Linked DNA regions of Notamacropus eugenii. The protein of the gene in region 2 binds, or shares a complex with, the protein of the main gene of each other region. Links are inferred from orthologs where the notes say so. Each region holds a gene or a part of one and is shown on either strand. Other genes may lie near its edges. The genes, in order: EIF2B1, EIF2B2 and EIF2B3.

Region 1 (7,354 bases), on a different chromosome or scaffold from region 2:
GCTCCCTACCTTGAGGAAGGGACAGGAATTTTACCGGGACACATCATTAAACCAAAGCAGAGGAACATACAGATATGTATGAACTATGCTAAAATGAATTTAATAAATGAAAGGCTTATATAACTTAACATGACTGTGTGTGTTCGATGAAACAGAGAGATGGTGAGGAAGTCAATGATCTCGTTTCTGGTCAGGTGAGATGATGTACAAGTCGACCCATGGCCCTTGAATTGTTTCAGTAATTACTAATGTACTTCAAAGGGGATAAACTCAGAGGGAGGTATTTAAGAGACAGAAGGTAATTAGACAACTGGTATGTGCACATATGATGACATGGATGTATACTGGTTAAGGGAAGCACCATCAAAGTTTGATTATCCTAGTAAAACACCAACTGAAATTGTTACTCCTGAGTCCCAGAGCCACAAAGCCCTTCCCAATACCTCATTACATAAGTCGTTACAACATTTTCTCCCACATAGCACTGATAACTCATGATTCCACTTACAGCTCCATCTTTAATGAAAGTATGGCACAGGTCGGCAATTTTACTTCTGGAAAGTGAGATCCTCCTGAGAAAGAGCTCTCCTCGCTCAATCATGATTGTTTTACACTTTAAGTAATCCTAGAAAAAGTGAAAGAGAAATCAAGGTAGAGGCTGTCCAGAGCCACGTAAAGAAGCACAAAAGCAGTCTGGACAGGACATGAACTCACTGAATACTCCAGGGAGGTGAGACTGATGAACCGAAGGAAGAGCTCTCCACCCGAGGAGACTGCCACAGAAGAATCTACGCTGCACAGGATTTTAATGGCATTTGTGAGATTTGCTCTCAAACCCTGAATTGTTCCTCCTGCAAAGTTCAATAGTACAATAAAACTTGCGTTTGGAAACTGATTCATCCTTTTATCTTACAGGACAATTATGTTACAAACAAAGATCTCTGAAATAGAGAGGGATTTCTTAGTCGACAGCTTCCTCCGTATTTTAGGATTTAGGGTTGGAAGGAATCTTAGAAGGCATCTAATCTCTTACTATACGAAAGAGAAAGCTGACAGCCTGAGAAGAAGTGACATTCCAAATGTTCTTTCCACAATATTCTGCTACTCTCACCTTGCAAAAGTAACCTGAGATTCTATGAAATCAGTCAAGTCTATGTCATTGGCACATCTCAGAGAATTAAGCTGAAGGGGTTACTAAGTACATGAACCCAATTTCTTTATCTGAGAATAAAAATCTGTTCTGCTAGTACAATGATTTGAGCTAAATACGTTTTGGAACAGAAAATGCTCAAATAAATTTACAGTATATCTCTATTCTGCAAATGAGCTCTCAAAGCACTATTCTATGGAAAAGGTTATGCATTTTATCTAAGAAAATAAGTACAAAGTCAAGGTCTCCTTTCTTATTAAGAGCCTGGCATAATGCTCCGTGAATAGTAGGTATTTAATTATTGAATGTTAGTTGATTATAACTGGGAATTGGGTCAAAATTAAATTGAGAACAGTCAAGAGTGAAGGGGCATGTGGCTATGCAAACTCACAGACACATAAGGCTTTCCAACATTTTTTTCCTGGAGAAAGGAATTTGGGGAACTGCTGACTGAGATCGTCTTACCTTGGTCTCTCTTTAAGAACTCAAGTAAGGTGCGGATGGCGGCCACAGCAGAAGCCACATCAGGATCTTCTTTCATTTGGGAATTAAAGTACTCAATCAAATCTGGGAAGGAGGGGACCATGGGAAGAAATACGTCAAGTTTCATTCGGCAGGCTGTATCACCTACAGCATCACCTGTGATGCCTGAGGACCCTCAGCCCCTAGGGTGAGTCCCAGGGTTAGAGGTAAGGAAATACAAACCCCTCATTTTACAGATGGAGGTCAAAATGAAGAGAAACTTCGGAGGAGAAGAGTATAGGAATTCAGATGGGTGACTCCAGATCCAGCGCTCTTACTGTAATACCAGGCATTCCTAGAGTGCCCGGGGGAAGCCACCACAGGCTCGTACCCTGAGGGCAATACTTTATCTCACACTTAAGGAAACGGAGACCCAGAAAAAGCAAAGTGCCCGACAGTCGGGAGGTCCCATTTGGCGGAGGGGCTTCGGCCCCCAATCCAGCAGCCTTTCCCAATCTCTCGGAGTCATCACTCCTGAATTACGAAGCCTCCCTGCTCTCCGAAATGACCCTGTGCCTATTCTGGATGTGCCTGCGAAGGTACTCCTGGTGCCAGCTAGCGCCCAGGGCGGTGCCCGGCACGCAGAGCCCAACTCAGAGGCGCCTCCTAAGTGCGAAGGAGCCCAAAGGGAGCCCGGGAGCTCCCGGTCCGGCGTGCAAACAGTGGCGCACAAACAAGGCGCAGCGGGGGCAGACTGGGGTGATGGGCAGAGGGAACTGGAAAGGTCTCTCGGCGAAGGTGCAGGGACGGAATGTGCACGCATGCGTGGACATCTGTATACACACGCTTATGTACACAGACACACGCCCACATGGATGCACGTGTACATATACACACGTGTACATGCGTGTAGGCGCACATACAGCAGATGGAAGGGACTTCCTGGGCCACCCCTTTTACAGATGAGTAAACTGAGGCCCAGGGAGGCCGGGGTTGGACCCAGATCCTCCACAGATTTAGAGCTTAAACCCCGCCGGTCCAACCTCTTCATCCTACAAAAGGGGAAACTGAGGCCCAAATCCAGCGTGCTCTCCTTTCTACGAATGGGGAAAGGTCCGGGGCGGGATTCACACCCAGGTCTTCCGGCCTCCAGGTCTAGCCCACCCTCCTTCGCTCTGGGGAGTCCCGGGTTCCAGCCCCCTTCGCCCCGAGTCCCGCGAGCCCGCCCCGCATTACCCGAGTCGTCCATGGCGCCGCGGCCACGAGGCCGTCCGCCTTTCCCCACAGCTATCCCGGGCGACCGGCCCGGTGACTGATAGTCCAGGCCGAGGCACGCACGGCCCGCCCACGGCGGGGCCGGGCCCAATTTCCCAGCAGCCCGCGTGTACGGCGGCCGGTAGAGGCCAAACTTCCTTCGACAGCTCGCGCCTGCGCAGAAGGCCAGGACAGTACGGTGGCCGCGGGGCTCCCGCGGCTCTCCGCTGAAGCGCAGGAGGTTCGCCATGATCTCCGAAGGTGAGCGCGCCCTGGGGCAAACAGGGAAGCCCCGGAGCCGGCGGAGCGGACCGGGGGCTGCGGCGGGGAGAGCGCCTGGAGGGGCCCAGAGCTGTGGAGGGGAAGGGTCGAGACTTAGGTGCAAATCCCGCCTCTTGGTGCTTAGCTACCTAGGGAAGCTCGGGCCAGGCCTTTCGTCCCCCTCCTGGGCCTCAGTTTCCTCCCCTGTAAGGTGAGGGAGAGAGCCCCGGCCTAGATTCAACCCCTCCATCCGACGCTTCCCAGACCCTTCCCCTCTCGGAGCCTCAGTTTCCTCCTCTAGACCCGAGGCTCCGATGGGCCAGCCAGCCTGAGGAAGCCTAGGAACCCCCTTCCAGAGTCAAGTTGTAAATGCATAAAATGCCCAAAGAAACCCAATTAAATTGAGGTCAAGCAAGGTCAAGGACCTTTGACCCGAAGCACCCGCCGGACTAGATGGTGTCCGAGGGTCCCTCCGGTCCTGTGACCTCTCTGAGCGACCTCGTCTTCTTTGAGGAGGCTGGTGATGCCCCGCCCCCACCCTCGCCCCATGTGTTCTGTTTGGGGGCTGTCTGGTTTTTTGTTTTGCCTTTTTTTGGGGGGGGTAGGGGTATCCCCAGTGCTGTGCACGGGCTGTGGCCCACGGCAGTTTAATAAATGCTCATTAACTCTATGAGTTGGAATGAGGACTTCTAAGGTCCTTTCCTGCATGGGCTGCAGGATGATGAATGAATGAAGGAGCACTTATCAAACGTTTACAATGTTGCCAAGCATTAGGGATAAAAAGAAACAAAGAGAACAATAGTGTTACAGTTGTAGCCAGGAAGACCTCAGTTTAAATACCTCTTCAGATACTTACTAGCTGTGTGACTCTGGGCAGGTCACTTACTGCCATTTGTCTCAGTTCTGGAGTCACAGGACGTGGGTTCAAATCCGACCTCTGAAACTTACTATAACTGGGTGACCTTGGGCAAGTCACTTCAGATGGGCAAGATCCACTCCCTGGGTTTCAATTTCTTCATTGATAAAGTGAAGAGCGAGGGATTGGACTAAACCTCTAGGCTCCCTGCCAGCTCTGTAGCTTTTATGTATCGCTGGGTGAGGGGAGGCAGTGCTTGGCTAGTCTGCAGCTCATAGGAGAAAGAACTGAGGGTCTCAGCACAGTTGGTACTTGTTTCTTTTGAAAGATCTAGGCAATTGTGCATTGAATTGAGGCGACTGCTGGTATTAGATGGAGGACAGCTGAGGGGCCCCTGGTGTTCAGGTCTGCTGGAGTGATGCTCCCAGGGGATATCTGGAGCACTGAGCACCCCAGTTTGGGAAGCACCCCAGAAGCCACAGTCAGCCCTTTCCAACTCTGGGATTTTACAAAATCATTCAAGTCACAGCTACTTTCAGGCTTGCAGAGCCCCATGAGGCAGCTTCTTTGGGCATCATTCCTCTGTTAAAGTGACTTACTTATGGTCATATAAGGGAAGCGTTAGAAGCAGGATTCAAACTCAGTCCTTCTTGGCTCCTAGCCCAGCACTCCCTCCGTTACACCACGTTGGTTACTATGTGAAATACACTGTGCTGGGTACCAGTGATTCACAGGCCAATAGTTTCTCTGCCCATGTATAACCCATATCAAATTGCTTGTTGTCTCAAGGAGTGGGGAGGGGAAAGAAGGAGAGAGAATTTGGAACTCAAAATTTTTTTTAAATGTTAAAAATTAGAATTGGAAAGACGTTTTTTAATTTAAAAGAAATATCAGTAGTCCTTGCCCTCAAGAAATTTACGTTCTGCTGTGAAGAATGTGACATGTAATGTTTTGCATGACTTCACATGTATAATGAGTATTATGTTGCTTGCCTTCTCAGTGGATGGGGGAAAGGCTGGAGGGAGGGAGAATTTAGATTAAAATAAAAATGTGGATGAAAATTTTAAAAGTAAATGTTAAAGAATAAGGTAACATAGGTCAGTTAGAGTGTTTGGTGGCCAGTGAGAGTGTACAGAGCTCTAGGAGTCTTTGAGGATAGCAAGAGTGCCCTTTTTCCCTCTCGTCCTCAGTTTCCCCATCTGTAAAATGAAATGCTTGGATTAGGTGCAGGGATCTGTAGGAGACTTTGGAGATCATTTAGTCGTCTAGCCCTTAAACCCCTTCACCATCTGGCTCCAGCCTATCTTTACCAAGTCATGGAATGTTACTCTCTCTTAGACATTCTGCATTGTTACCAGCTGTATTACCTTCTTGTTCCCTACTTTCCTCCTTCCACCTCCTGCCTCTACATGATGCTGAATGCTTTTCCTCCTAACTTCTACCTTGTAGAATCCCTAACTTACTTCATGGGCCAAACTGGACGCCACCATTACTTGGAGGTCTTTCCTGATCTCCCTAGTTGTTAGTACCCTTGCCTTGCCTCCCCCTAAAAAATTATTTTAGATTTCTTCCTTCTCTGATTTCTCCATCTGTGTTGCTTCCTCCCAGTAGATTGTAAGCACTTGAGAGTAGCAATCATTGCCTTTTGCCCTTGTCTCCCCAGTGCCTTGCACAGATACCTGGCATTTAGGAGTCTGCTGAATACTTGTTGAGTTATGTACAACAGCTTTATTTTACAGAAGATGAGTTAGAGACCCTGAGGGGTTAAAAAGTGGGAGTCCCCCCTCCCACCACGACTAAGTGCCAGAGCCAGGAGTCAAAAGCAGGTTTTTCTAGTAATTCTCCGTATGTTGTACCACACTGCCTCAGATGGTCACCAAGACCCCTTCCGGTTCTGACATTTTTTTATTTCTGTGAGGAAAAAACTGTCTGAAATTCCCCTTTCATATCCTGAGTGATCAGCCTAATCACTTTTTATAGTAGAACATGGGAATCCTTTGCTTTTTAACCCTGCATCCTGAGGAAAAGCTGTAACCAGAATATAGAATAAATAGAAAACCATTTCAGTGGGGCAAGAACACTGACACTTAAGGGGTCAGGAAAGGACTTTCTGGAGGAAGTGAGGGATTTTTTGTGGTATAGGTAAGAAGGAAGGAGGCACACAGAAGCCCAGAGGCAGGGGATGTGACATCATACGCAGAGAACAGCAAAGGTTTGTGTAAGTCTCTGCATTGATTCTTCATTTGGTGAACATTTATTAAGCATATCTGGTGCCTTGGCACCAGTACCAGTAGATACAAAATATATGTAAGGATGTGTGTGGGGGAGGTGGGGGGGTGTGTGTGTGGGTGTAGGTGAGGGTGTGGGTGTGGGTGGGTGTAGGTGGTTTGAGCTTAAGGCCTTTGATTGACTCCTTATCAAGGCTAGCTGATAGCCAGTTCTACTCCCTAAATCTCTTTTCTCACTTATACCAGGATTTCCACCTTAACTGATTTGCTTTTGAGATGCCCCAAAGCATTGCCCTCTCCTCTTAAACTCTAAAGGTGACTTGGATAACCCAGTAAGTTGTTAACACTTTAGGGTAAATAAGTTTTCCTAGCTTTTAGCCTTCATGACAAAAACAATTCCAGGCATCAAGTGCGTTGGACCGTTGGGTGTACAAGGAGAGAAGAGATGGCGTTTTCTATAGGCTGACCTCATCCTGGTTTTTAGAAGATCTTGGCCCTCTCCCCTGTGTAGACCCTCTTAACCTGCATTTCTGTAGAACAATAGATATTTATAAGCAGGTTGGTTGTAATTGAGCTGTGGATTAAACTGGTGAAATAGGAAATGTTAACTGTTTTTTGATCTTTCTCATGTTTCTTGTGATTTCAGATGATGAATTAAACCTTCTAGTTATCATAGTTGATACAAACCCAATTTGGTGGGGAAAACAAGCTTTGAAAGAATCTCAGGTAAAGTTCATTATGCTGAGGATTACTTTTTAAAATCTTAATACTAATTTAATTGAATATCTGAATTGCCATTTTGAAATTAAGATAAGGAATTTTGACTCTTGAAATGTCATTTAACTCAATATACTCTTTTGAATTTGTTTGTGGAAAAAGATATGCAGAATTTAAATTGTGAATGTTATGATATTTAAAATCAGTAAGCAAGCATTTAGTGCACACATAGCAGTAACTTAAACTATGAACACTCAAGATACGTTATATTTGTTTTCCAGGTGTGGTGCTGTACGCTTTGCAGGAATCTAGTGTTTATTCAGTGTAATGGGTAGAAATAGTCACATGTAAGAGAAAGAAGAAAAATACAATTTTCAGAAATTTTCAAATATTTTTACTTGAGCATTCCTGCAAAAACTTATGTTC
Region 2 (7,514 bases):
TTATGTTTCTAGAAATTGAGGTCAGCCCAAGCACCAATCATTTCTAAAGTTCCTTGCCCTATTTAGATCCCTACACCACTGACTTAAAGCCAAAAGGAGCCTTTGAGACCATTAACTTCAGCTGCCTCGTACTTCATATGAAGAAAAAGAGGGCCAGGGAGATTGTGACTTCCCCAAGGTCACAATGATAGTAAGGGACAGAGCTGGTATTTGAATCCAGATCCTGACTCCAAAGCCAATGCTCTTTCCACTACAATGTGCCGTCTCAACTCTTATGTCCTAAGCTCTGCAATTCACTACTGCTTTCTCAAACCAACTATCACACAATTTTTGACCAGTCATGTGATTTCACTTCTGATGAGGCAACTCCCTCTCCCAACACAGATGCAGGTACAAGACATATCAGCTTTTAGTTAATTCCACTAACGTCTCACTATATAGAGTTATCTTGATTTTTTTCATTATATCAGACACTTTCCCCCCAAGTCATCATTACCCCTTGCTTACCAATTCAGTCAGAATGGATCCAACCACCCCTTCCTTTACTACCTCCTCCCATCTTTCTCAATTTTCTGTAGCTCCTTCAGTACCTGGCAGAAAGGAGCACACTCTGCCACAATAACATGAAATTTCCGCTTTTGGGCAGCCACTTTGAGGAACTCTTCCACGGTCCGGGAGTATCCAATGGTCATGATCACCTCATTGGAGTGAATGTGCTCCAGAGCCTGCATTGCTATGTTCTCCGTTGTCCCTTCTGCAAGTACAATCAATTTACAGGAAAATTAGACACCAAGTTGGGAAGAAAGATTTGTGTCCTTGGCACAACATTCCACCAGCACACATTACAGGGAAACTACACCTTGGGGCACCACATCAAAAATGTCTGAAATGAAAAGTTACAAAAGCCGAATTTTTACTCCTAATCAGACAAGTGCAGCCACCTTGCCCCCTCTGGTATCCTCTACAAAAACCCACCCCTATTTCAAGCCCATGTCACTGTAGCTACTGCGATATATACTAGCTCCTTTTGGGGCAACTGGTTCTGAAGATAATGATTATCTAATCAAGAAAATTTTCAATCTGTCAAACCTAAAATTGCTGAAGAAGGGGAAAGTGGAATTTCCATTAAAAGGTTCTCTTTCCAAAAAAAGCTACAAGTCAGTATCACTGCATGCCAGAAAGACCCCAAGGGAAAACACAGGTGGGGAGGAAACACTAAAAACAAAAGCACATGAAACTGAGATGCTAAAGGGCACTGTTATTTCTCTGATGAACTTTTGCAAATCTCCAGAGACCATGTTTAGTGAAGCAACATCACAATAAAAGCGATAATCACAGATAATGTTTACACACAGTGCGCTAGGCTTTACAAATACTCTTTTATTTGATCTTTATCACAACTCCGAGGTACTGCTATAACTATTTTATAGTTTTTATTTCATAATATATACACATGCACATATATGTGTGTGTACATGAATAATTATAAATGAAAAGCTTCCTGACTTTGACTGTGACAAGTTAACAGATTTGGTCAGGGGCACAGGGCTAGTAAATATCTGAGACTGCATTCAAACTCAGGTCTTTCTGCCTCTCAGTTCGGCACTCCATCCGCTACACCACGTAACTCCTCTAAGAAGAAAGGCCTACTAACCATGGTTTGAGTATCGCTTTCTCATATACAAACCCAAAGCACCGTCTCACCCTCTGAATCTATTTATTCATTTATTCCTGTATTGGTGTGAGTTCAATTTATTTACTGAGTCTCTCTCTGCCGGCTCAGCTCAGGGATCCGAAGTCCGCTATTGGTCTGCTAAGCACCCAACGAGCCCCATATTTCAACCCTTGCTTCCGACTAAAGAGCCCAGGAGAAGAGGTCAGAAGACCTGCAGACCAGACTACTTTCTGTCCATGTCGCCAGTCAGCCCCGAAGCCCGGGCCCAGCCACGCACTCACCCAGCTCTATCAACAGCTCGCTGATAACCTCAATGATGTTGGCCTGGAGCTGGGCAGAGTGGAGGCTGAAGTCCTCATTCAGGCCCCCAGCGGTCAGCAGCTTGTGTAAGGACTCCTGCTGGTCGCTCTCGTCGCTGCGTCCGTGGAGCCTGGGGAGATAAGACGGCATCAGAGGGGCGGGCACGGAGAAAGGCTCTTGGGAGAGGCGGGCACGGAGAAAGGCTCTTGGGAGGGGCAGCAAGTGCCAAGATGGTACAACGGGAAGTGGCCCACATCTCCTGCATTAGTGACCGAAAGATGCAGAGGCCAGGGCGGGAGCTCGGCCTCCAACCCGACCCTGCCTCGAGTCCAGCCCGCTCGTCCCCGCATCACAGAACCTCAGAGGTTAAGGCCCAGAGAAACAGCGCCTTCCCCAGGTGGCGGAGTCAGGGGCTGGCAAGGGACGGGAGCCACACGTGCCTTGGCACTGTCTGCACACACCCGCCACCGCTCGCACCCCACTTCCCCGCCGATTCCAGCTAGAGTGGATTCTGTCCCTCCGGGCCGTCAGCTCCCTGGGGGCAGGGCTGTCTTTTCGCCTCTCTTTGTAGGCCGAGCGCAGTGGCTGGCAAACAGTGGGCGCCGAATGAATGCTTACTACCGGCGGGGGGCGGGGGAGGGGGCTGGGCCGCCGGGGCCGCTGACCTGCCGTACTCCTCGCGGATGATCTTGAGCACCCTCCGAACCATGTTGCCCACGGTGGTCTCCGAGGGCTGCGCGGCCGTCATCCGCCGGCCCTCCTTCCGGATGAGCGCCATCAGCTCCCCTGCAGCCAGGGAGGGAACAGCGTGAGCGCAGGGCTGGCGGGGCTGGTCCTCCCCCCGACCCCCGAGGCCGCCCCGGCCTCTCCCGCCGCGCCCTCACCGGCGTTGCTCCAGCACCCGTGGGCCACGATCTGGCGGAGCAGCCCCACCGTCTCCCGGGCCATCTCCTCGGAGCTGCGCTGGCCCCCGCCCCGCTTCAGCGCCTCCACGAAACTCTCGATCCGCTCGGACAGCTCCGTCCCTTTGTCAGCGGCGCCCGGCATCTCGAGGACTGACAGCTCCACGGGAGAACCGACGGCAGGAGGGCCGAGAGAACGACGCAGCCTTCTACTTCCAGGGCGATCAGGGTATGCTTCCGGTCCTCGCGCGCGCTGCCCCGCCCCCTCCTCGTGCTGCCTCCTCCTTGGAACCAATCAGAGACTTGAGGCTCTGCGCCCGTTTGCCATTCGTAAGGAGAAACGGAAGTGTGAATGAATGCTCCCTCACCTGGTAATATCTGTCCCCAAGTCCTCCAGGCTCTATGACCTGTCGCTATGGAAACGGCAAGCCAGGCTTTCCCCTTTCGTCTCTGCGTGGAGCTCAATGAAGTTTGGCTCCTCCATGGCGGTGGCACAGAATCTCAAAGCCAACTCATATCCAGAATATAAATGGCATCCGATGGCGGTGGTTATCCGATGGACCTGGATACATTTTTCCCCCTGTTCAATGGTATTTTATTTTTTCTAGTTACATGGAAAGGTAAATTTTCAACATTCCCTTTTATAAAATTTTCAGTTCCTTTTTTTAAAATTTTATTTATTTAACTTTTAACACTCATTTTCACAAGATTTTGGGTTCCGAATTTTCTCCCCTTTTGTCCCCTCCTCCCCCACCCCAAAACACCAAGCATTCTAATTGCCCCTATGACCAATCTGCCCTCTCTTCTATCCTCCCTCTCTGGCCTTGTCTCCATCTTCTCTTTTGCCCTGTAGGGCCACATAACTTTCTATACCCCTTTACCTGTATTTCTTATTTCCTAGTAGCAAGAACAATACTCGACAGTTGTTCCTAAAACTTTGAGTTCCAACTTCTCTTCCTCCCTCCCTCCCCACCCCCTCCCTTTGGAAGGCAGGCAATTCAATATAGGCCAAATCTGTGTAGTTTCGCAAATGACTTCCATAATAGTCGTGTTGTGTAAGACTAACTATATTTCCCTCCATCCTATCCTGCCCCCCATTGCTTCTATTCTCTCTTTTGATCCTGTCCCTCTCCATGAGTGTCGACCTCAAATTGCTCCCTCCTCCCCATGCCCTCCCTTACATCATCCCCCCCACCCTGCTTATCCCCTTATCCCCCACTTTCCTGTATTGTAAGATAGGTTTTCATACCAAAATGAGTGTGCATTTTATTCCTTTGTTTAGTGGAATGTGATGAGAGTAAGCTTCATTTTTTTTCTCTCACCTCTCCCCTTTTTCCCTCCACTGAAAAGTCTTTTGCTTGCCTCTTTTATGAGAGATAATTTGCCCCATTCCATTTCTCCCTTTCTCCTCCCAATATATTTCTCTCTCACTGCTTTCATTTTTTTTAAAGATATGATCCCATCCTATTTCATTCACTCTGTGCTCTTTGTCTCTGTGTGTGCGTGCACATGCGTGTGTGTATGTGTATGTAATCCCACCTACCCAGATACTGAAAAGTTTCAAGAGTTACAAATATTGTCTTTCCATGTAGGAATGTAAACAGTTCAACTTTAGTAAGTCCCTTATGATTTCTCTTTCCTATTTTACCTTTTCATGCTTCTCTTCATTCTTGTGTTTGAAAGTCAAATTTTCTTTTTCTTTTCTGGTCTTTTCATCAAGAATGCTTGAAAGTCCCCAATTTCATTGAAAGACCATTTTTTCCCCTGAAGTATTATACTCAGTTTTGCTGGGTAGGTGATTCTTGGTTTTAGTCCTAGTTCCTTTGACTTCCTTAATGTAGAAGCTGCTAGATCTTGTGTTATCCTGATTGCATTTCCACAATACTTGAATTGTTTCTTTCTAGCTGCTTGCAATATTTTCTCCTTGACCTGGGAACTCTGGAATTGGCCACAATGTTCCTAGGAGTTTCTCTTTTTGGATCTCTTTCAGGCGGTGATCTGTGGATTCCTTGAATACTTATTTTGCCCTCTGGTTCTAGAATATCAGGGCAGTTTTCCTTGATAATTTCATGAAAGATGATGTCTAGGCTCTTTTTTTGATCATGGCTTTCAGGTAGGCCCATAATTTTTAAATTGTCTCTCCTGGATCTATTTTCCAGGTCAGTTGTTTTTCCAATGAGATATTTCACATTATCTTCCATTTTTTCATTCTTTTGGTTTTGTTTTGTGATTTCTTGGTTTCTCATAAAGTCATTGGCCTCCATCTGTTCCATTCTAATTTTGAAAGAACTATTTTCTTCAGTGAGCTTTTGAACCTCCTTTTCCATTTGGCTAATTCTGCTTTTGAAAGCATTCTTCTCCTCACTGACTTTTTGAACCTCTTTTGCCAATTGAGTTAGCCTATTTTTCAAGGTGTTATTTTCTTCAGCATGTTTTTGGGTCTCCTTTAGCAAGGTGTTGACCTGCTTTTCATGCTTTTCTTGCATCTCTCTCATTTCTCTTCCCAGTTTTTCCTCCACCTCTCTAACTTGATTTTCAAAATCCTTTTTGAGCTCTTCCATGGCCTGAGCCTATTGAATATTTATTCTGGATGTTTGGGATACAGAAGCCTTGATTTCTATGTCTTTCCCTGATGGTAAGCGTTGTTCTTCCTCATCAGAAAGGAAGGGAGGAGATATATGTTCACCAAGAAAGTAACCTTCTATGGTCTTATTTTTTTTCCCTTTTCTGGGCATTTTCCCAGTAGGTTACTTGACTTCTGAGTGTCCTCTCCACACCCACCTGGCCTCCAGATCCACCCAGCCTCTACCCAGCCAGCACTTGGGGTCTGAGATTCAAATGCTGCTTCCCAGCCTTAGGGCTTTGGCGGGGGTGGGGTTGCTATTCAGTGTGAGATTAAGTTCAGGTGCTCAGGTGGGGGCAGGGCCACCTCACGGGGCTCAGTTCCCTCAGGGGGTTTATGCAGAGATCTTCAACAATGGATCCGAGCTTCTGCCTGCTCTGGGGGCCCTTGTCCGCTGCTGCCTCTGCTGCTGCTTCCAGAGGGGGCCTGAGTTATAGGGGCACCCCACTCCCCTCTCCTCAAACTGAAAAGCCCCTCTCACTGACCTTTGCCTCGTGTGGGTGGAGAGACCTGCTCGGCTGCTGGAGATTCTGTCCCTGAAGCCTGCTCGGATCTGCTCCTCTTGGTGCCTTGCGGCGAAGCCAGGGCTGGGCTCTGCTCCGGGTCTGGTGCGGGAGGGACCTTTCGGGTCAGTTTTTCAGGTCTCTCTGGAACAGAAATCTCCTCTGCTCCGTTGTTGTGTGGCTTCTGCTGCTCCCGAATTTGTTGGGAGTTCTTCTTTATAGGTATTTTATGGGCTGTGGGTTTGGAGCTAGCATATGTGTGTCTTTCTACCCTGCCATCTTGGCTCCTCCCCCAAGATTTTCAGTTCCATTTTTTTCTCCTTTCCTCCTTCTTTTCTCTCCTCCCCAAGACAGCAAGCAATCTGATGTAGGTTCTACATGTAAAATCATATTAAACAAATTTCCACAATAGTCATGTTGTGAAAGAAGACTAGGAACAAAAGGGGAAAACTATGAGAAAGGAAAAAAAAGTGAAAATGGTCTGCTTTGATCTGCATTGAAGCTTCCTAGTTCTTTTCACGATGGGCTGGCATTTTCCATCATGAGTCCTTTGGAATTGTCTTAGAACCTTGCCAAGTCTATCCAAGCTGATCATTGCACAGTGTTGCTGTCACCAGGCACCACGTTCTGGCTCTGCGCACATGACTCAAGATCAGTTCGTGTAAGTCTTTCCATGTTTTTTTTCCCTGAAATCTGCCCGTTCATCATTTCTTATGGCACAGTAGTATTCCATTACATCCATAAACCACAATTTGTTCAGCCCCAATGGATGGGCATCCCTTCAAATTTCCAATTCTTGGCCATCACAAAGAGAGTTTCTATAAACATTTTTGTACATCTGGGTCCTTTTCCATTTTTTTATGATCTCTTTGGCATTCAGTCGTGATAATGTATTGCTGGGTCAAAGGGTATGCACAATTTTGTAGCCCTTTGGACATAGTTCTAAATTGCTCTCCAGAACGGTTGGATCAGCTCACAGCTCCTCTAACAATGCATTAGTGTTCCAACTCTCCCACACCTTCTACAACATTGATCATTTTCCTGTTCTGTCATGTTAGCCAATCTGATAGGTGTGAGGTGGTACTTCAGAGTTGTTTTAGTTTGCATTTCTTTAATCAAGAGTGATTGAGAGCATTTTTTCATATGACTATAGATAGCTTTAATTTCTTCATCTGAAAACTGCCTGTTTATATCCTATGACCATTTATCAGTTGGGGAATGATTTGTATTCTTACAAATTTGACTCAGTTCTCTATATATTTGAGAAATGAGGACTTTATCAGAAACACTGGCAGTAAAAGTTGTTTCCCAGTTTTCTGCTTTCCTTCTAATCTTGATTGCCTGGGCTTTGTTTGTGCAAAGACTTCTTAATTTGATGTCATCAGAACTACCCATTTTGCATTTCAAAATGTTTTCTACATTATTTGGTTATAAATTCTTCCTTTTTCCATAGATCTGATAGGTAAACTATTCCCTGCTCTTCTAATTTGCTTATCACCTTTTATGTCTAA
Region 3 (7,486 bases), on a different chromosome or scaffold from region 2:
GATTCTCTCCCTCCTTCCTACCCCTCTCTCAGTCACTGAGAAGACAAACAATGCATCAATTATATCATGATATTAATTAATATCATGCAAAACATACTTTCATATTAGCTATATCATAAAACAAAGCAAAAAAAAGGAAATTATACTTCAATTTGTATTCAGAGTTCATCATTCTTTCTCTGGAGAGAGGATTTTTTTCATGATGAATTTTTTCATCATGAATCCTTTGGAATTGTCTTGGAACACTATATTGATTAGAGTAGCCAAGTTTGTGTGTGTGTATGTGTATATATGTGTGTATATACATATATATGTGTATATACACGTGTGTGTGTGTGTGTGTGTTTATAAACACTGCTGGTACTGTGCACAATTTCTCCTGGTTTTGCTCACTTCACTTTGCATTATTTCATAGTGGTCTTACTATGTTTTTCTGAAATCACCTCCCTCCTTGTCATTTCTTATAGTACTCCATCACAATCATGATACAATATGTTCAGACATTCCCCAACTGGAGGGCCAGTCCTCGATATTCAATCTTTTGCCACCACAAAAAGAGCTGCTATAAATATTTTTGTACATATGGGTCCTTTTCCTTTTTCTCTGATCTCTCTGGGATACAGACCTAGTAGTGATACTGCTGGATCAAAGAGCATGCCTTTGTCATTTTTGATAGGTGTGAGGTGGTACTTAAGAGTTGTTTAATTTGCCTTTCTCTAATTAATAGAGATTTGAACTATCTTTTCACATGATTATAGAGTGCTTTGATTTCTTCTTCTGAAAACTGCCTGCTCATATCCTTTGACAATTTATCAATTGGGAAATGGCTCTTATTTTTATACATATGGCTCAGTTCTTCATATACTTGAAAAATGAGGCCTTTATTGGAGAAACTTGGTGTAAAAATTTTTTATGTTACTTCATTGTCGATGGTACCTTTCAGAAAACTCTAGTTTCTCTGGTCCTCTCTTTTAAGTAGGTCTACTTTTGCTTCGCTTTGTCTGAGACCATCATAGCTACCCTTACCTTTTTTCACTTCAGCTGAAGTGTATTAGATTCTGCTCCAGCCCTATTTCTTTAATTCTGTATGTCTTTCATGTGTGTTTTAAATGTGTCTCTTGAACATAACATATTGCTGAATTCTGGTTTCTAACCAATTCTGTTATCTGATTCCATTATGGGTTAGCTCATCCCATTCACATTCCCAATTATGATTACTGTGTATTTCCCTCCATGTTATTTTCTTCCATTTATCCTTCTCTATCTTTTTATCCTGTCCCTTCTCAAAAGTCTGTTTTGCTTCTGACTGCCTCTCTTAACCCAACCTCCCTTTTATCATTCCCCTTCTCCCATATCTCTTATCCCCTTCTCTTATTTCCCCTTTAGGTGAGATAGATTTCTATACACAACTGAGCATGTACACATATTCTTCCCTCTTTGAACCAGTTCTGATGAAAGTGAGGTTTCTTCCAAGCCTCTTTTATGTGAGAAAATTTTCCCCACTCTACTTTTCCCTTTTCCTTTCTCCCAGGGCAACCCTTTTTCTCACCCCCCCCCCTTTTTTGGGAGATGATCCAACATAATCCACTAAAAACCCTAACCTCACTCTATGTAGACTCCTCCTAACTGCCCTAATGATGATAAGGTTCCCAGGCGGCCAGCAAAGTTGTCCAACTAGTTGTCCAATCCCTTAATGTCCAACTCTACCATCTTGGCTCTGCCCCTCCCCCATGGCCTTTTCTCAGTCTTCATTCTTCTTTCCCTGTCTCCAGCATCTGACACTGTCCTTCACCCTCTTCTCCTTGATAATCTCTTTCTCTGGGTTTTCAGGCCACCATTTTCTGCTGGTTCTCCTCCTACCTATCTGACCAGCCCTCAGTCTCCTTCGCTAGTTCTTCACTCAAGTGGAGATGTCTCACAGTGGCTATCTCTTAGGGCTTTGTCCTGGGATCCTCTTCTCTTTTCCTTCTATACTGTTTTATTTAGTGATCTCATCATCTCCTTATGAATTCAAGTATCATCTATGCAAATGATTTTCAGATCTACTTAATCAAACCTAACCTCCTGGCTGAACTACAGACTCACATCTTTGACTGCCTATTGGATATCTCCAACTACAAAGGTCCCATAAACATCTTAAACACAACATGACCAAAACTGAACTCATTATATTTTTCCCCAAAATCCCTCCTTCTTTCTGAGTTTCCCCTTACAGTCGAGGGCATCACCATTTTTCCAGTCACCCAGGTCCTCAACTGAGGAGCCACATCCAATTAGTTACCAAGGCCTATCTATCCTCCCTTCTTACTGTCTCTGAACAACATGTACTCCTTCCTCCCCTCCCATGCTTTCACACACAGCCCCACCTCACCTTGACCCCCACCTGGTACAGGCTTTCTCCTTCTCTTATGCCTAGACTATTGCTGCAACAGCTTGCAGGTGGGTCTTCCTGCCACATTCCCCAAGGCAGTTCATCCTCTACTCAGGTACCTGGGTGAACTTCCTAAAGCACAAGTCTGACTATGTCACAGAAACACACTCACCCTCAATAAACTCCAGTGGTTTCAGAAGTTCACCTCCAAGATCAAAAAATAATATCCTGTTTGGCGTTTAAAGACCTTCATGACCTGCCCCATCGCCACCCCCTCCCCTCCCATGGAGCTGCACTAGCCTCCTGGTTGTTTCTGCCACAAGATGCTCCATCTCCCAAACCTCTGCATTTTCCCTGGCATCCTCCATGCCTGGAAGGCAGTCCTCATCTCTGCCTCCTGCCTCCTGGCTTCCTTCAAAGCCTAGCTAAAACACCACTTTTCCTGATTTCCCCACAAAGATCGGGGTACCACCATGCCAGCCTGAGCCTTGGGCAGCCAATGGCTCCTCTGCAAATACAACACTGCCCAAAGGGGAAGTTTCTGGGGTAGGCTGGCAGAGCTGCCCATCCAAGTGCTCCACCTCTCTCAGTTGCTGCACCACTGCAAGACTTGGTGCTACTGAGCTCAGATGAGCTCCACCAACTCCGGCCATGGGCTTCAGAGGCCACAGACTCACCTGGACACTGGACATTGGAAGGTGGGGCAGAGGAAGACCCCAGGCGGCGCTGCCACAAGCCTGGCAGATGGCGACCTGGCCAGGGACCACCAAGCCTACTCACTTCACAGATTATACATCCATGGACCCATTCAGGGACCCCAGGGCTGCTGCACGGACTGACCCTCCCCCCAGGCCAGAGACCCTGGTGCCCCCCAGACTGACCCTCCCCCCAGTCAGGGACCCCAGGGCTGCTGCACGGACTGACCCTCCCCTAGAGACCGTGGTGCCCCCCCCAGACTGACCCTCCCCCCAGTCAGGGATCCCGGGGCTGCCACACGGACTGACCCTCCCCTAGAGACCCTGGTGCCCCCCCCCAGACTGACCCTCCCCCCAGTCAGGGACCCCAGGGCTGCTGCACGGACTGACCCTCCCCTAGAGACCCTGGTGCCCCCCCCCCAGACTGACCCTCCCCCCAGTCAGGGACCCCAGGGCTGCTGCACGGACTGACCCTCCCCTAGAGACCCTGGTGCCCCCCAGACTGACCCTCCCCCCAGCCAGGACCCGGGGCTCCCCGGCCCTCCGATCGTGCCCTCTCCCGGGCTCTCTGAGCCCTCACACACAGACAGCACCCAGGCCACCCCCAGCTTCACCTCTCCTTCAGCCTCCAGTCACACGCCAAACTGACAGCCCAATGGCGACCACGAGGCTACTGCGCTTGCGCAGAGAGCCTACTCCGCATCGATCAGCCAGGGGCGGGGCCAGGAGAGAGGACCAGCCCAAAATAAGCGAGCGCCGAACAGAGGATCCTGAATCCCTGCGGCTAGAGGAGGAGAGGGCAGAGAGGGAGGCGGGAGAGGGCGGGGGGAGCGGATCCTCGGAGCCGGGTGCAGAGCCGCCGAGGGCACCCTGCGGCGACAGCGAGCTCACCACCTGCCGAGCAGCCGAGAAGGCGAGCCGGGCCGGCCCGGGGACAGCAGCGGCAGTGCCGGGGAACTTCCCGGCTTCCCAGGCCGGGGCTCGGTTGTCCCCTTCTCCGGCCGGTCCTGGCCCCTCCCAAGCCGCGCAATCGCCCCGCTTTCGGGGTGACCGGCCCCAGACTGCGGCTGTGGGAAACCTCTGAGTCCCGGGGCAGCAGCGCCAAGCCGGCCCACCCCTCCAGCCTTCGCTGACCCCCCACTCTGGGCCAGGTACCGAGGGGGATCCTCTCCCCTTGCTCCATCTCGCGCGCACCCCTAGCTTCCAGAGCCGGCCCAAGTAACAAGCCACACTCCACGAAAGCAACACAGCGAGAGTAAGCTGTTTGTCAGGACGTGTGACCCCCTGCTGGGCGCTCGGCGGCTGTCCCAGGTACCCATCGGGCCACTGCCCTCGGGTGAGCAGTTGTGTCCTGTTTGCAAGGCTTCAGAAATGCCTGGCATCACTTTACCAACAACTGACCGATTTGTCCACCAGGTGGCAACACATTCACCCCGACAGCCAAGTGGACCCTTGTGTGTTTCCAGCAGCCCGGCTTGCGTCTCCTCACATGCTCCCACCAGGGGACCCCCTAAATGCCTGCCTGCGTCTCACTAGGCTAAGGTTTCTTAGCAGCTGGCAGTCCAGCCCCCTCCCTACCTGCTCACTGTTCTCTCTGGCCAGTGCAGAGCCTTGGTCTCATCTTGTCCAGCCCCTCTTGTCCACTCTGTGTGTACAAAGCTCCCAGGATCCCTCCGGATTCTGCCTTTATTGGGCTGGTGGAATGGCCCTGTCCCGAGCTGTGTGTGTGCCTCATTCCACCCACCCCACAATCCATCACCTCTGTCAGGACTATGCTGGGAAGAAGACTTTGCCATCAGTCTCCTGGAGCTGCTCAGAGTCCTGAAGTCTTCCCAAGATACTTTTCTTTACCATGTTGTTACTGTATCGCTTCTAGTTCTGCCCCCTTCCCTCTAGCTCCATTTATACAAATCATTCCAGGTTTCTCTGAAACCCTCGCCTTTACTATTTCTCATGGCAAAATAATATTCTATCACATTCATATACCATAACTTTTTCATCCATTCCCTAATTGATGGGCATCCCCTGCGTTTTCAGTTCTTGGCCACCACAAGGAGCCAGTATAAATGTCTTTGTACCTGTCAGTCCTTTTCTTCTTTCTCTCTAGACAACAGATGTGGTAATGCTCTTCCTCGTTCTTTATGTATGTAGCACACCAAGGACTAAGTTAGAGTCCAAATGTGGTGGTTCCACAATTCCTGATGAAGAGAACAGTTTGTTAAAGACAGATCTTTTCTACTTTTCAAATGTTCTTAAGGAACTGGGTCACTCCCTAAGCTTTCTAGAGACTCATTTTCCCTCCATTTCTTCTGTTTTGTTAGGTGATATGATTCATAATCTTCTACTGTCCTCCTCTGTAAGATTTTCCAATGAGTTTATATTCTAACCTGTCTTTTCCCTGTTGGCTGGATTTTCTTGATAGATATATATAGTTCAGTTGTTTTTTTCAGTCGTGTCTGATTTTTCCTGATCCCATTTGAGGTTTTCTTGGCAAAGATCCTGGAGTGCTTTGCCATTTGCTTCTCCAGCTCATTTTATAGATGAGGAAACTGAGGCAAACGGGGTTAAGTGACTTGCCTAGATTCTAGTGCCTGAGGCCAGATTTGAACTCAGGTCTTCTTGATTCCAGGGTTAATGCTCTATCCACTTTGCCACCAAACTGCTCCCTCTTGATGAGATGGAGAAAATGTTTACTTGCTGCAGCAGTTTCTCAAATCATTGAGCCACTTCATCGTGGTGATCGATTTGCATAAATCAATTACACTTCCTTAGGAAACATTGATGATCTATGCCAATTTCTGTTCCTTTATTCCAATCTCATTTTTCATTGTCAATATGCTTATTCAAATAGGTCAGGTCGGAACTGTATTGCAACACACTATATCTTCTCAATTTTATTCTCAATTCTGAACTTGGCTCTAACAAATGGCTAGTTTGGTTGCACACACATAGTTGATTTTAGAATGTTTCCATATTGGTAACTAGTCTTTTCCTTTTTGTTAAGATATAGTCAATTTCATTTTTTGTGGTTATTTAGCAATTCTCCATGTCTAGTGCCCTAGATTTTCTTCTTTTTTTTCTATTACATTTTCATTTACTGTATTAAATATTTTCCAATTATATTTTTATTACTGAAACTTAATTACAAAATAAGAAAAAGAGAGGATATCATATGCACAGCAGAATGTAAAAAAGAATTCAAAACATATAGCAATAAATTTCCATTTCAAGAAAGCCTGTATAATAAATACTACACGTTGCGTTGAGAGCTATCCATCTTTTCTTTGCTTCCTTATTCTCTGTTATGTCCCTTTTACTTTGTTCTTTTTTCCCATTCCTTCCCCCTGCTCCCCCAGAAGACTACAATTAAGTGCTGATATATTTGTATATTGATATAAATACCTGGATTTTCTTCTTAAAGAAATTGTTCATGGTATAAAACATTGAGGCTTCAGTTTTTCCCACAAGCCCTTGGACTCATTTCTTTTTTTCTCCAAATTTATTAATGTCTTCAGTTTTCAACAATCACTCCCATAAGTGCCAAATTTTCTCCTCCTCGCTCCCCAAGATGGCATGCAATCTTATATGGACTCCACACATACATTCCTATTAAACGCATTTTCACATTAGTCATGTTGCATAGAAGACTTAAAATGAATGAGAGAAAACAAAACAAAACATAACAAAAGAGAAAATAGTCTGCTTCATTCTGCATTCGGATTCCATAGTTGTTTCTCTGGATGTGGATGGCGTTTTGCATCATATGGACTCATTTCTTAATCTTGAGTCATATGTGATGGGAAAATAAGAATGCTACCTCACATTTCGGTAGTGCTTTATAATGAAACTTGATAGCAATCTTCCTTCCCAACAAACCTTAAATGTCTGATATGATTTGTTTTTTGTTGGCTTTTTCTGGTAGGAGAGGAGGAAGACTTGGGCAGGGGAAAAGAGTTGACTAAAAAAAGTCAAAGAAAGAAAAAATCCACAGAAGAGAACAGCAAGGAGAAAGGGAAGCCAAAAGAAATTAAACTCTCAGTTCCAGGGAGGCCAGACTTAAGGGTAACTCTCTAGCAATCTCCATGATGCCTCATTGTCTATGAAATAATATGTGTTTATGAAATAGTAAAATGAGGAGCCCAGTTTTACATTTGGGAATTTTCCCCATGGTGCTGTAGCTTTGTTTTATTTTCAACATTACAGGCTCTTGGAAAGGCCCCCAAAGCTGTGGTGTCAAGGGCCCCCAAAGAGTCCCTATCTACTTCCACACCTGGCTGGCCCGGCAGATTAGATCTGGGCTGAGCTTGGCCTCTGTCCCAGACCTCTGCTAGCATTAATGTGAAACTCATTGGCTTTTCCAGGCAATTAATGAAATGATTCTATAGATTTCTGCTTTACATGATTATTTCATATTCCTTAT

The links.
Region 1: the proteins of EIF2B2 (region 2) and EIF2B1 are in contact, whole or in part, in a cryo-EM structure (PDB 7F64), measured with the Homo sapiens proteins. The link is inferred for Notamacropus eugenii from reciprocal best matches to the Homo sapiens genes EIF2B2 and EIF2B1. Residues at the interface, in NP_055054.1 of Homo sapiens: Glu107, Ser108, Leu109, His110, Leu112, Leu113, Thr114, Ser115, Asn242, Phe278, Asn280, Glu281, Glu282, Ser334, Tyr337, Arg338; in NP_001405.1 of Homo sapiens: Leu71, Arg74, Phe75, Leu78, Arg96, Leu99, Phe100, Arg103, Lys110, Thr117, Phe118, Lys120, Ser232, Phe235, Leu283, Asp287, Leu288, Val290, Thr292, Ser294, Ala295, Asp298, Glu299, Leu300, Lys302, Leu303.
Region 3: EIF2B2 (region 2) and EIF2B3 share a complex: the UniProt entries of both Homo sapiens proteins name them as parts of the translation initiation factor 2B (eIF2B) complex. The link is inferred for Notamacropus eugenii from reciprocal best matches to the Homo sapiens genes EIF2B2 and EIF2B3.

Annotation. Positions count from the first base shown.
Region 1 is NC_092875.1:38,934,140-38,941,493, forward strand, and holds the start of EIF2B1 (translation initiation factor eIF2B subunit alpha), read right to left. Parts: upstream 3,117-7,354; coding exon 2,849-3,116; intron 1,718-2,848; coding exon 1,616-1,717; intron 852-1,615; coding exon 715-851; intron 626-714; coding exon 509-625; intron 1-508. Other genes in the region: GTF2H3 (general transcription factor IIH subunit 3), read left to right, coding at 3,115-3,127, 6,858-6,937.
Region 2 is NC_092878.1:57,859,327-57,866,840, reverse strand, and holds the start of EIF2B2 (translation initiation factor eIF2B subunit beta), read right to left. Parts: upstream 3,114-7,514; 5' UTR 3,023-3,113; coding exon 2,860-3,022; intron 2,762-2,859; coding exon 2,641-2,761; intron 2,106-2,640; coding exon 1,957-2,105; intron 755-1,956; coding exon 591-754; intron 1-590. UniProt on the Homo sapiens protein: Acts as a component of the translation initiation factor 2B (eIF2B) complex, which catalyzes the exchange of GDP for GTP on eukaryotic initiation factor 2 (eIF2) gamma subunit.
Region 3 is NC_092873.1:506,431,232-506,438,717, forward strand, and holds the start of EIF2B3 (translation initiation factor eIF2B subunit gamma), read right to left. Parts: upstream 3,114-7,486; 5' UTR 3,064-3,113; coding exon 3,049-3,063; intron 1-3,048. UniProt on the Homo sapiens protein: Acts as a component of the translation initiation factor 2B (eIF2B) complex, which catalyzes the exchange of GDP for GTP on the eukaryotic initiation factor 2 (eIF2) complex gamma subunit.